Linked DNA regions of Canis lupus familiaris. The protein of the gene in region 1 purifies or fractionates together with the protein of each later gene. This does not show direct contact. Links are inferred from orthologs where the notes say so. Each region holds a gene or a part of one and is shown in the gene's direction. Other genes may lie near its edges.

What was found. Proteins that work in one complex are often made in the same cells at the same time.
Region 2: the proteins of protein tyrosine phosphatase type IVA 1-like (region 1) and CNNM4 purify together in Homo sapiens (affinity purification with mass spectrometry; 6 studies listed by BioGRID and IntAct, with this or other methods). This does not show direct contact. The link is inferred for Canis lupus familiaris from reciprocal best matches to the Homo sapiens genes PTP4A1 and CNNM4.
Region 3: the proteins of protein tyrosine phosphatase type IVA 1-like (region 1) and CNNM3 purify together in Homo sapiens (affinity purification with mass spectrometry; 6 studies listed by BioGRID and IntAct, with this or other methods). This does not show direct contact. The link is inferred for Canis lupus familiaris from reciprocal best matches to the Homo sapiens genes PTP4A1 and CNNM3.

The regions. Positions count from the first base shown.
Region 1 is NC_049248.1:18,637,247-18,639,832, forward strand, and holds protein tyrosine phosphatase type IVA 1-like, read left to right. Parts: upstream 1-1,475; 5' UTR 1,476-1,535; coding exon 1,536-2,057; 3' UTR 2,058-2,077; downstream 2,078-2,586. UniProt on the Homo sapiens protein: Protein tyrosine phosphatase which stimulates progression from G1 into S phase during mitosis. May play a role in the development and maintenance of differentiating epithelial tissues.
Region 2 is NC_049231.1:46,251,521-46,255,935, reverse strand, and holds the start of CNNM4 (metal transporter CNNM4), read left to right. Parts: upstream 1-1,583; coding exon 1,584-2,985; intron 2,986-4,415. UniProt on the Homo sapiens protein: Probable metal transporter. The interaction with the metal ion chaperone COX11 suggests that it may play a role in sensory neuron functions. May play a role in biomineralization and retinal function.
Region 3 is NC_049231.1:46,209,023-46,213,227, reverse strand, and holds the start of CNNM3 (metal transporter CNNM3), read left to right. Parts: upstream 1-1,373; coding exon 1,374-1,717; intron 1,718-1,828; coding exon 1,829-2,754; intron 2,755-4,205. UniProt on the Homo sapiens protein: Probable metal transporter.

The DNA.
Region 1 (2,586 bases):
AGCCAGAATGGGAAAATACTCATAAGTGGGACAGCTGAATCTTGTGAATAAATTAGTCTTAGGAAAATTTAAGCCTGAGACATCTCTCATTTGTGAATGGGCAATGGTTTAGTTGGCTTCATACCTGAGCTAGGAGTTCTTGATACCTCTTATTTGTTAGGGGCAAAGCGAAATGAATGTTTCTATGGGAATTAAAAAAATGTTTTATTGAAGTATAACACACATACAGAGAAATGCACAGATTGTAATGTATAGCTCAATTTCCACAAAGTGAAGGCAGCTGTACCTAGAACAAGAAACAGACTATTACCAGAAACCCATAAACTCCCCTGATCACTGTTGTCCTAAATGTAATCACCACTCTGACTTCTAAGCCATAGAATAGTTTTGTCTGCTTCTGAAATTTATGTTAATATGATTACAGAAGCTGTACTTCCTGTCTGTTGGCTGAATGTTCTGTTAGTGAGATTTATCCCTGTTCTTCCATATAACAGTGCTTTGTTCATTCTCAGTTCTCCGTAGTATTCTATTTTATGAAAAGCCCCCAGTTTTTGCCTAATGCTGCTGTCACTGCTGCTATGAACATTCTTCTAAGTGTTCTTACGGGGAACAGTGCATATTTCTTTTTGTATATAATCAGGAGTGGAACTCCTGGGGGCATGTGGTAATTGTTTTTAGTGGAAACCGATCAATAGTTTTTGTTTTTGTTTTTTTTAGATTTCATTTTTGAGTAATCTGTGCACCTAACATGGGGTTCGAACTCACAACCCCAAGCTCAAGAGTTGCATGCTCCCCCAACTGAGCCAGCCAGGTGCCCCTCCTCAATAGTTATTCTAAAGTGGTTTCTGAAAGAGTTCCATTTCATTTGGTTCTCATCCTTTCCGACTCTTGGTATTATTAGTCATTTTTATTTTTAGCCATAATGGCAGATAGTAGTAGTACCTCATGGTGGTTTTAATTTGTATTTTGATTTAAAAAGTTGAGTACCAGAGCCGCTCACTCCATGGTAGAGCCTGGTGCCCCCACCACCGCCTGCGAAGCTGCCGCCTCGGGACCGGCTGTATGATTAGGCCACAATCTTCAATGAGTAAACATATTCCTCAGTTCTGTGGTGTTCTTGGTCACACATTTATGGAGTTTCTGAAGGGCAGTGGAGATTACTGCCAGGCACAGCACGACCTCTGTGCAGACAAGTGAACTGTAGAAATTCATTACTACTCCACCAAGAAGCCCCCATAAGAGTGGTTAACCTGGACCCAGAAGTGTTGAATTGAAATCCACAGAGCATGTTACAAGAGTTCTGACCTGCTTGGGGTAAACCTCAGTGCATTTCCTTTCTATTGCCTCAGTATTACTGGATTGAAGAATTGTTAGGAGGTTCATTTCATTTCCCATTACTCCCAACTTCATACTCAAAGCACTGAGAATTTCAAGTGGAGTATATCAAAGTAGACTCAGTTTCTTTGCATCATTTCTGTATTCAATTTTTTAAAATTCTTTCATAACCCTATTGAGTGTTTTCTAATTTAATTAACATGGCTCAAATGAACCGCCCAGCTCCTGTGGAAGTCACATACAAGAACATGAGATTTCTTATTACACACAATCCAACCAATGCGACCTTAAACAAATTTATAGAGGAACTTAAGAAGTATGGAGTTACAACAATAGTTAGAGTATGTGAAGCAACTTATGACACTACTCTTGTGGAGAAAGAAGGCATCCGTGTTCTCGATTGGCCTTTTGATGATGGTGCACCACCATCCAACCAGATTGTTGATGACTGGGTAAGTCTTGTAAAAATTAAGTTTCGTGAAGAACCTGGTTGTTGTATTGCTGCCCATTGTGTCGCAGGCCTTGGGAGAGCTCCAGTGCTTGTTGCCCTAGCATTAATTGAAGGTGGAATGAAATATGAAGATGCAGTACAGTTCATAAGACAAAAGCGGCGTGGAGCTTTTAACAGCAAGCAACTTTTGTATTTGGAGAAGTATCGTCCTAAAATGCGGCTGCGCTTCCAAGACTCCAATGGTCATAGAAACAACTGTTGCATTCAATAAAACTGGGGTGCCTGATGTCATTGCCTTGGAAGTGGAACTTGAAACAGGACCTAATTTGTCATATATACACATATTAGCCAATATGTTGGCTTGGTGATTAAGTCTAATGAAGCTTCCATAGGAGTATTGGAAAGCGGTTTTATCAGGCCACAAGTTTGATGGAATTGCAACCTCTATGTTTGGGTTACGATCAAACTATTTGGACACTTAGCAAAAGTTTCTTGCTTTACAGCATTTAAAATGTGCTTATCACTTGTACCAATTGACCTTTCCTGAAATCATGCAGTATTGAGTTATGTCTTTAAGTCTATTCCCATGCCAGAATCTTATCAATATATAAGAAATTTAGAAAGATTAGGTGCCAAAATACCCAGCACAATACTTGTTGTATATTTTTAGTATCATACAGAACTAAAATCCCAGGAACTATGAACACTCTGGACCTTATGTGGTTTATTCCTTCAGTCATTTCAAACATAGAAATTAGGGCCTATATGGTTATTTGCCTGCTCACTTTATGTTTACATCT
Region 2 (4,415 bases), on another chromosome or scaffold:
TCCCCACACCTCCTGGGTGCTTGGTGCTTGCTAACTGACACCAAGGTAGGGCTGTCCAGGAAGCAGTCATTTCAGGGCTAGGCCTGGCGCCACACCTCTCAGCTCATTTTCACATCATCAGCCCTGGCTGGGCAGTCCCCACCACAATTTGGGGTTAGGGGTTTGGTCCTCCTGGTGGGCAGGCATAAACAACACCAGCTGTGTAGAACATTTAGAGTTGTCCTGTCGTGTTCAAGGCCTAGGCCAGTTGTTCCTATAAGCTTAGTGAGATGGTGCCCTATTATTGTTCTTATCCCCATTTTATAGACAGAAACTGGGGCTGACACTCCATCGTGCCTTCCCAGTCTCACAAGCCTGTTAAGACAGCAATGTGGAGGGACCCCACTTTGTTATTTGTTATTTGTTGTGTGTGTGTGTGTGTGTGTTTTAAGATTATTGATTTATTTGTGAGAGACACACACAGAGAGAGGCAGACACAGGCAGAGAGAGAAGCAAACTTCCTGCGGGGAACCTGATGCGGGATTCGATCCCAGGACCCCGGATCACGACCTGAGCCGAAGGCAGGTCTAGATTCAATTTCCTCATCTGTTATATGGACAGATAACACTAACTCTTAGTGTTGTTCCAAGGATTAAATCAATATTTTGCATGTGTTTACCTGCTTATGGTCTGTTTTTTGCTCTAGACCGTGAAAATCATGCAGGGACTTTGGCTTATTCACGGCTGTATATGGTTAGAGTCTGGAACAAGAGCCGGGCACATAGTAGGTGCTCAGTATTTGTGTCCTGAATGGAAATGACATGAGGATAGCCGAGGCCAGACCCTGGCCCTATTACCCGCGAGAACGTTCTGTTCTACATCCTTAGTTCCCTGGACTGTTCCAACCGGGCAGCCAATGGCCAAAGGGTGCGGGGCCTGGGGGCTGGGGCCGAGGGGACCTACTTCTGGCCTTGGGTCAAGGTCAGCAAAACTCCCAGGAGTGCGGAGGCCATTTCTGCCTGAAAAGTCTCCGAGGACGCAGTCTGCAATGCCTGAGCCCTCAGGTTCCCCTTTCCTTTTTTTTTTTTTTAAATAATAGAAAAAGCATTTTTGTTGCCCGAGCCACCGCGGAGCGGAGGTTGCTGCGGAGAAGGGCCACCCTGGCCCGAGCACCAGTCTCTGGGAAGGAGCCGAGCCCGCGAGGCCCGGCCGGACCGCAGGGACGCCCGGCGAGGCCAGGCAGGAGGCCCGGCGGAGGCGAGCGGGCGGCGCGGCCGCGGGCGGGCGGGAAGGCTGGCGGGGAGGGCGCGCGGGCGGGGGGGAGGGGCGAGGGGCGAGCGCCGCCCCCGCCGCCGCGCCCGCCGCCGCGCCACCTTAAGCTCGGGACCCCCTTAAGGGCGGGCGCGGAGCCGCGCGCCCGGAGGCGGGGCCTCCCATGCAAATGAGGGGCGTGGGTCGGCGGGGCGGGGCGGGCGGGGCGCTGACCTGACGTCAGGCCGGCGGCCGGGGCAGTTGGCTCGGCGGCGGCGAAGCGGCAGGAGCGGCGGCGGGAGCGGGGCCGCGCGGCGGGGCGCGGGGAGCGGCGGCGGCCGACCCGGAGCAACATGGCGCCGGTGGGCGGGGGCGGGCTCCCGGGCGGCGGGCCGGCCCGAGGGCGCCTCCTCCTGGCGGCGCTGCTGCTGCCGGTGCTGATGTGGGCGCGGGGGGCCCGGGGCCAGGGCGACCCCCAGCGGGGCGCGATCCTGGGCATGAGGCTGGCGAGCTGCAACAAAACGTGTGGGATGAACCCAGATGGCATCATCTTCGTGTCCGAGGGCAGCACGGTGAACCTGAGGCTCTATGGCCAGAGGCTGGGCTCCATCTCCAGCAACCTGATCTCCTTCACCGAGGTGGACAACTCCGAGGCCGTCCACAACTCCACCAACTGTCCCGAGCTCACCAAGGACCTGGTGGTCCAGCAGCTGGTCAACCTGAGCCGCGGGAACACGTCCGGGATGCTGGTGGTGCTCACCAAGTTCCTCCGGAGGAGCGAGAACATGAAGCTGTATGCATTGTGCACCCGGGCAGGGGTGGACGGGCCCTGGCAGAGGTGGACCGATAAGGACTCGCTGCTCTTCATGGTGGAGGAGGGTGGGAGGGTCCTGCCCCTCTGGCTGCACATCCTCCTCATTATGGTGCTGCTGGTGCTGTCGGGCATATTTTCTGGCCTCAACCTGGGGCTTATGGCCCTGGACCCCATGGAGCTTCGCATCGTGCAGAACTGTGGCACCCAGAAGGAGAGGCGCTATGCCCGAAAGATCGAGCCCATCCGGCGCAAGGGCAACTACTTACTCTGCTCCCTGCTTCTGGGAAACGTGCTGGTCAACACCTCCCTCACCATCCTTCTAGACAACCTCATAGGATCTGGGCTCATGGCGGTGGCCTCCTCCACTATTGGCATTGTCATCTTTGGGGAGATCGTACCTCAGGCCTTGTGCTCCCGACACGGCCTGGCTGTGGGTGCCAACACTATCATTCTCACCAAATTCTTTATGCTCCTCACCTTCCCCCTCAGTTTCCCCATCAGCAAGCTACTGGATTTTGTTTTGGGCCAGGAGATTCGCACCGTTTACAATCGGGAGAAGCTGATGGAGATGTTGAAGGTGACAGAGCCCTATAATGACCTGGTGAAAGAGGAGCTAAATATGATCCAGGGTGCCCTGGAGCTACGGACCAAAACCGTGGAGGATATCATGACCCAGCTCCAAGACTGCTTCATGATCCGCAGCGATGCCATCCTGGACTTCAATACGATGTCGGAGATTATGGAGAGCGGCTACACCCGCATTCCCGTGTTCGAGGACGAGCAGTCCAATATTGTAGATATTCTCTATGTCAAAGACTTGGCCTTTGTGGACCCCGATGACTGCACCCCCCTCAAGACCATCACCCGCTTCTATAATCACCCAGTACATTTCGTCTTCCATGACACCAAGTTGGATGCCATGCTGGAGGAATTCAAGAAGGGTAAGGCCTGGTGAAGTTCTGCCCGTTAACTGGCTTTGTGACGCCTCTTGTTCGTTCGCTTGCCTGTTTTGTGTCTGCTGGTCCTAGTGTTTTTGTGTGTGACTGCCCATCACTTCCTGTGCCTCTGAGGTGAACGGTATTTGGGGCGGCAGGAACGGTTCCTAAGCATCTGCCGTCTGCCAGGTACTGTGCTTTGTACTCTAGGTGAATCAGAGCCCAGACAACACTTGTGCACTTGGAGGGATAGAGCAAGGCCTCAGGAGCTATGAAGCAGGACAGAGTAAGGCTGATGCCTTAAGAGAGGCCATGGAGATTAGAGTGTGGGCCCCCACATCTGATTGGGGTGAGGTGTGGAAGGGGCTGGGGACCTGGGAAAACCTTCCTAGGGGAGGCAGCATCTGAGGAGAGCCTGAAGATGTGGGGAGACTTGGTCCCTGAGACAAGAGGACCCCTACAAGGAGCCAAGCACCTGAGTGGGGAAGCAAAGGCTGTGCCTGTGGCCCAGCAGGTGGTCCTGTTGAGCTGGGTTTGAGCTCTGCTGTTCAGTGGTCAGTGGGGAGAGGCTGATGTCAGGGTGGAGAGTTTGCTCAGAGCTAGGAGCTGTCGGAAGTTTTCGAGCAAGAGTGATGTTCCTGGGGCTTCTCACCCACAGAAGCTGGATTGGGAGATCTCTGGGTTCCCCACTCAGAACAGTGCCAAGTAATGCTTTCGACTATTCAGCAGAAGCAAGCAGATCAAGTTTTGGTTACTGTTCTGTCTTTTCCCAGGCGCCAAACATAAGCTTCCCTCCTGTGGTCTGCTGGAAATCTTCAGCTGGCCGTGCAGTGCCTTGTGTTTTTTCTCACATGGGTTCTTGGCCAGTTCTCAGGTAGTTAGAAAGGCACTTGGAGGTTTTACTCATCAGCCTCAAAGCTCAGGGCACACACCCCTTTCCTTACGTCCAACAAAACTTTCCTCCCACCTCTGCCACTCAGAAGTCCTCAGTGGCAGTAAACAAGCCAATTATGGAGTGAAACCCTCCTAGGCCAAAGGGAGTGAGGAGGCAGAAAGGGAAGCTCTTTATAAAGGAATGGGGGAGGGGAGGGAGCACATCTTAAATCCAGGACTTTGCTTCCCTTCCCCATAGGTAGAGCTCCTGCTGGCTAAGGCAGCCTGCCAGCCTAGGGCTGGGAGCAGCTTCTGCGCTCCAGTGGGGAACAGGCCTCAGATGCTTGTCGGTCGATTATTTCATGAGGTGGGGAGAGAGCCTGGAACTGGATGGGTCCCTGGTGAGGGGGTGGGATAGGTAGGAGCTGGCCTTGCCAGGTTTGCTCTGATCAGGGCCAGAGTGGGAGATTAGTCCCCTCCCTTTTTCAGAGGGACAGACTGATTTCAGAATCTCTTCAGACAGAATGAACCTCAGCATCAGAGCTGAGAAGGATTTGAGTAAC
Region 3 (4,205 bases), on another chromosome or scaffold:
GGGAGACAGAAGTGTGAATCCATAATTTTTTTTCTTCAAAGGAGGCATGCTGATCCAGTGGAAAGGCTCAGTAGTGTCATTGCTTCTGCTGGCTCGTAAGTGAGGCATAGCACCCTCTAGATAATAAAAACCAAAAACATGGAGACGTGGTTGGCCTAGTCACAGCGCTGAATTTACAACGTTGAAGAGACATTCTCACCATCCTTTGAGGAGTTTTTCACAAAGTATTTTTTCTTTTGATTATCCACAATGGGTCTGCTCATTTTTGCATGTTGCCTTCCACCCGTTTTACTTAATTGTGGTCACAGTGCCTACACTTTTTCTTACTATTTCCATGACCTAGCAAATGTGTTTCTGTAGAATCCTTAGGAAAATTTTAAATGACATGTAGATGTGCACCCTTATCAAAGTCTACTTTTGTTAGGAAATTTGAAAATACATAAAAATGTAAAGAAAATATACAAAAACAATCTGGATCCTTGTAGAAAAGACTTGTTCAGTTTGTCTCCTTCCGGTCATATAAAGATCATGCACAACGGGTGAAAAGCATTCCATACCGTCAAGGAACCATATTGCCTTCTAAAATAACTCTCTAGTAAGGATCCTGTTGAATAGTTCTTGTTCCCGAGAAGATATTTTCCCAAGGATTATCTGCTAGAAGTAGAGTGACCGGTAACAGGAATTTTTGACCGCGCTGCCCCTCTGCTAACGTGGCTGGGAAGGTGACCGGGGTAGTAAGTAGGTCGTGTTGGATCCTGCATCCACCCTAAGGCACGCTTCACTTTTCTCCTGTAAAAGTAGTTTGAGGATCCAATGAGGTAGCGACTTCGTGGGTTTACAGAATTACCGTCGTTCTCTCTGGCAGGAATGCAAGGTCCTTGAAGGCAAAGGGCTAGGTCTCACGTCCCCAGCCCCACAGAGCACAGTCGGGCGCAATCAGCCCTAAGAAGCTTGAGCTTCCCGACGTCGGGGCCCCTAGGTCAGCGGTGCGCGGAGCCCTTCCCTAAGAAACGGTGCGGCCGCCACACACTGGCGTCTCTGGCTCCGCGCCCCGGCTTCCCAGAGCGCAGGTGCGGCCTCGGGGCGCGCCGAGGGCCCGCGGGAACGGGACGCCCAGGTCGCCGGCCACCCCCCTGCCCCGGGAGCCGCGGCCGAGCCCCGCGGCGCCCGCAGCCCCACGCCCCACGCCCCACGCCCCCGGCCCGCCCCGGGATCGCGCCGCCGCTTGTTTACTCCCGGCGCAGCCTAGTCCGACCCTGAGGCCCGCCCTCGCCCGCCGCCTATTGGCGGAGGAGGCGCCAAGGCCGGCGACCATTGGGCCGGGGGAGGCGGAGGGGTAGGCTGCGCGGGAGGCCGAGAGGGGGCAGCGGGCGATGGCGGCGGCGGCGGCGGCGGCGGCGGCGGCTCGTCTAGGCTGGTTGCTCGCCGCGCTGTGCCTGGGCGTCGCCGCCGGGGAGGCCGCGCCGGGCCCGCGAGTGCTGGGCGTCTGTCTGGAGGAAGACGGAGACGCGGGCGCGGGGTGGGCGCGCGGGGGAGAGGCGCGGGCCGCCCCGGAGGCCGCCTTCCGCCTGCGCCTCTTCGGCTCGGGCTTGGCCAACAGCTCCTGGTCCTGGGTGGCCCCCGAGGGGGCGGGCTGCCCCGAGGGCGGGCCGGCCGCGACGCCCGGGGAGGAGGAGGAGGCGGCGGCGGCGGCCCCCGCGGGCGAGTGGCGTGCGCTGCTGCGCCTGCGCGCCGAGGCCCCGCGCCCGCACTCGGGGCTGCTGGCGGTGCGCGGGGAGCCGGGCGGCTCGGCGGCCCGGGAGGCGGCGGCCCCCGCGGGCGAGTGGAGCGCGCTGCTGCGCCTGCGCGCCGAGGCCGTGCGCCCGCATTCGGCGCTGCTGGCCGTGCGCGTGGAGCCGGGCGGCGCGGCCGCGGAGGAGGCGGCGCCGCCCTGGGCGCTGGGCCTGGGGGCGGCGGGGCTGCTGGCGCTGGCGGCGCTGGCGCGGGGCCTGCAGCTGAGCGCGCTGGCGCTGGCGCCCGCCGAGGTGCAGGTGCTGCGCGAGAGCGGCACGGAGGCCGAGCGTGCGGCGGCGCGGCGCCTGGAGCCCGCGCGGCGCTGGGCCGGCTGCGCCCTGGGCGCGCTGTTGCTGCTGGCCAGCCTGGCGCAGGCGGCGCTGGCGGTGCTGCTGTACCGCGCGGCCGGCCAGCGCGCCGTGCCCGCCGTGCTGGGCAGCGCGGGGCTCGTGTTCCTCGTGGGCGAGGTGGTGCCGGCCGCCGTGAGCGGGCGCTGGGCGCTGGCGCTGGCGCCGCGCGCGCTGCTGCTCAGCCGCCTGGCCGTGCTGCTGACCCTGCCGGTGGCGCTGCCCGTGGGCCAGCTGCTGGAGCTGGCGGCGCGGCCCGGGCGGCTGCGCGAGCGCGTGCTGGAGCTGGCCCGCGGCGGCGGCGACCCCTACAGCGACCTCAGCAAGGGCGTGCTGCGCTGTCGGACCGTGGAGGATGTGCTCACGCCGCTCGAGGACTGCTTCATGCTGGACGCCGGCGCCGTGCTGGACTTCGGCGTCCTGGCCAGCATCATGCAGAGCGGCCACACGCGCATCCCGGTGTACGAGGAGGAGCGCTCCAACATCGTGGACATGCTGTACCTCAAGGACTTGGCCTTCGTGGATCCCGAAGACTGCACGCCGCTCAGCACCATCACCCGCTTTTACAACCATCCGCTCCACTTCGTCTTCAACGACACCAAGCTGGACGCCGTCCTGGAGGAGTTCAAACGAGGTAACTGCGGGACATCGGGGAGGGGACACGAATGCCAGCGCCCTCCGCTGGAAGAAAGGGGGGAGGGAGTTATGGAAGCCTCGAGGGAAAGGGTCCCATCCTTCCCTCCCAGGGCCCTTTGAGATGATGGCCTCACAGGGCTCAGTGGCCTCTTGAGATACCTAAAGGCTGTCCTTCAGGGCGCCGTAGAAAGCAAAATCCCCCTTTTCCTGGTAGGCCTGATTTGGGGAGCCGTGTCCATTTGACTTACCAGCTTCAGGGTCATTTTTGTGGGCTTTGGCTTTGTAACAGGCCTATACTCTTAAATAGAAAGGAGGATAGTCTTCAGACACCTGGATGTTATCACCTGCGCACACAGTGTCAAAACAGCTGGGCCTGTGAAGTTTCCAGCGATCATGGTTTTAAGGTCTCTGATGGGCTGCTGCCTTGCTGATAACAGAAGAAGGGATGATGCCTGATTTTCTGCAGGTGTGGAAGAAACTTCCACTTTGATTTCACCAGAAGCAACCTTATGGATGATTTAGTCTCCCTCTTTTCTTTTCTTTTCTTTTCTTTTCTTTTCTTTTCTTTTCTTTTCTTTTCTCTTTCTCTTCTCTTCTCTTCTCTTCTCTTCTCTTCTCTTCTCTTTTTTTTTCTTTTCTTTTTTTTTAACTTCCTCTTTTCTAAGACTGAGATCTTTTGGCGTCTCCCTTAACTCCACAGTTCACCTCCTTTTACCTTGGTTTATCTGAGCAACTCTAAGGTCACATGGGTAAACATGGAGACCCAACCTCCAAGTGTGAAGGTATGGGTTCCTCTGTAGTCCTCTCCATCCTAAGGCGTGGGTGTGCTCCCCAGAGCGTGGCTGCTCTTTGTCCACCAGCCATGCTTCTCCTACACTCCTACAGGATGAAGACGGGGGACACCCCAGGGCTCTGGATGGGCTTGACCCTAAAGGCTGCATAATGTGAGGCTGGGAAGAGAGCAGATCCCCTGATCTTCCTGGCAGCTGTGAAGTCTGCTGGCCCCAGGCCACAAGAGTATAATTAGTCAGGGCGTGGTATTGAAAAGTTGGGCAGTTACTATCCTTACTGTACCTGAGGATTGAGTGGGGAGGCTTTGCTGTGCAGCTCTGACAGCTTGCTAGAGCATCTCTTGGGTGCTCGTGGCTCTTTCTCCCAGAAAGTGGTAATGCAGTTCCTCTGTGGGGAGGGGATGCCCAGGTGGGGTCTCTGATCTCTGGTGGTGAGTACTCCATCTGGGCCATTGTAGTACTCGAGGCAGTAGAGGTTCTTGTGGCCTGGTGGCCAGGACTGCCAGCCCTGGAGTGTGCAGAGGTGGGTTCCAGCCCGCCCCTGTCACATCCCAGCTTGAGACTCTGGGATGGCTGGACTGGATCCTCCAGGGCGCTGACTTTGAGCAGAGCACTGACTGATATGGAGAACAGTGAGTAGGGGGTCCAGCTAAGAAAT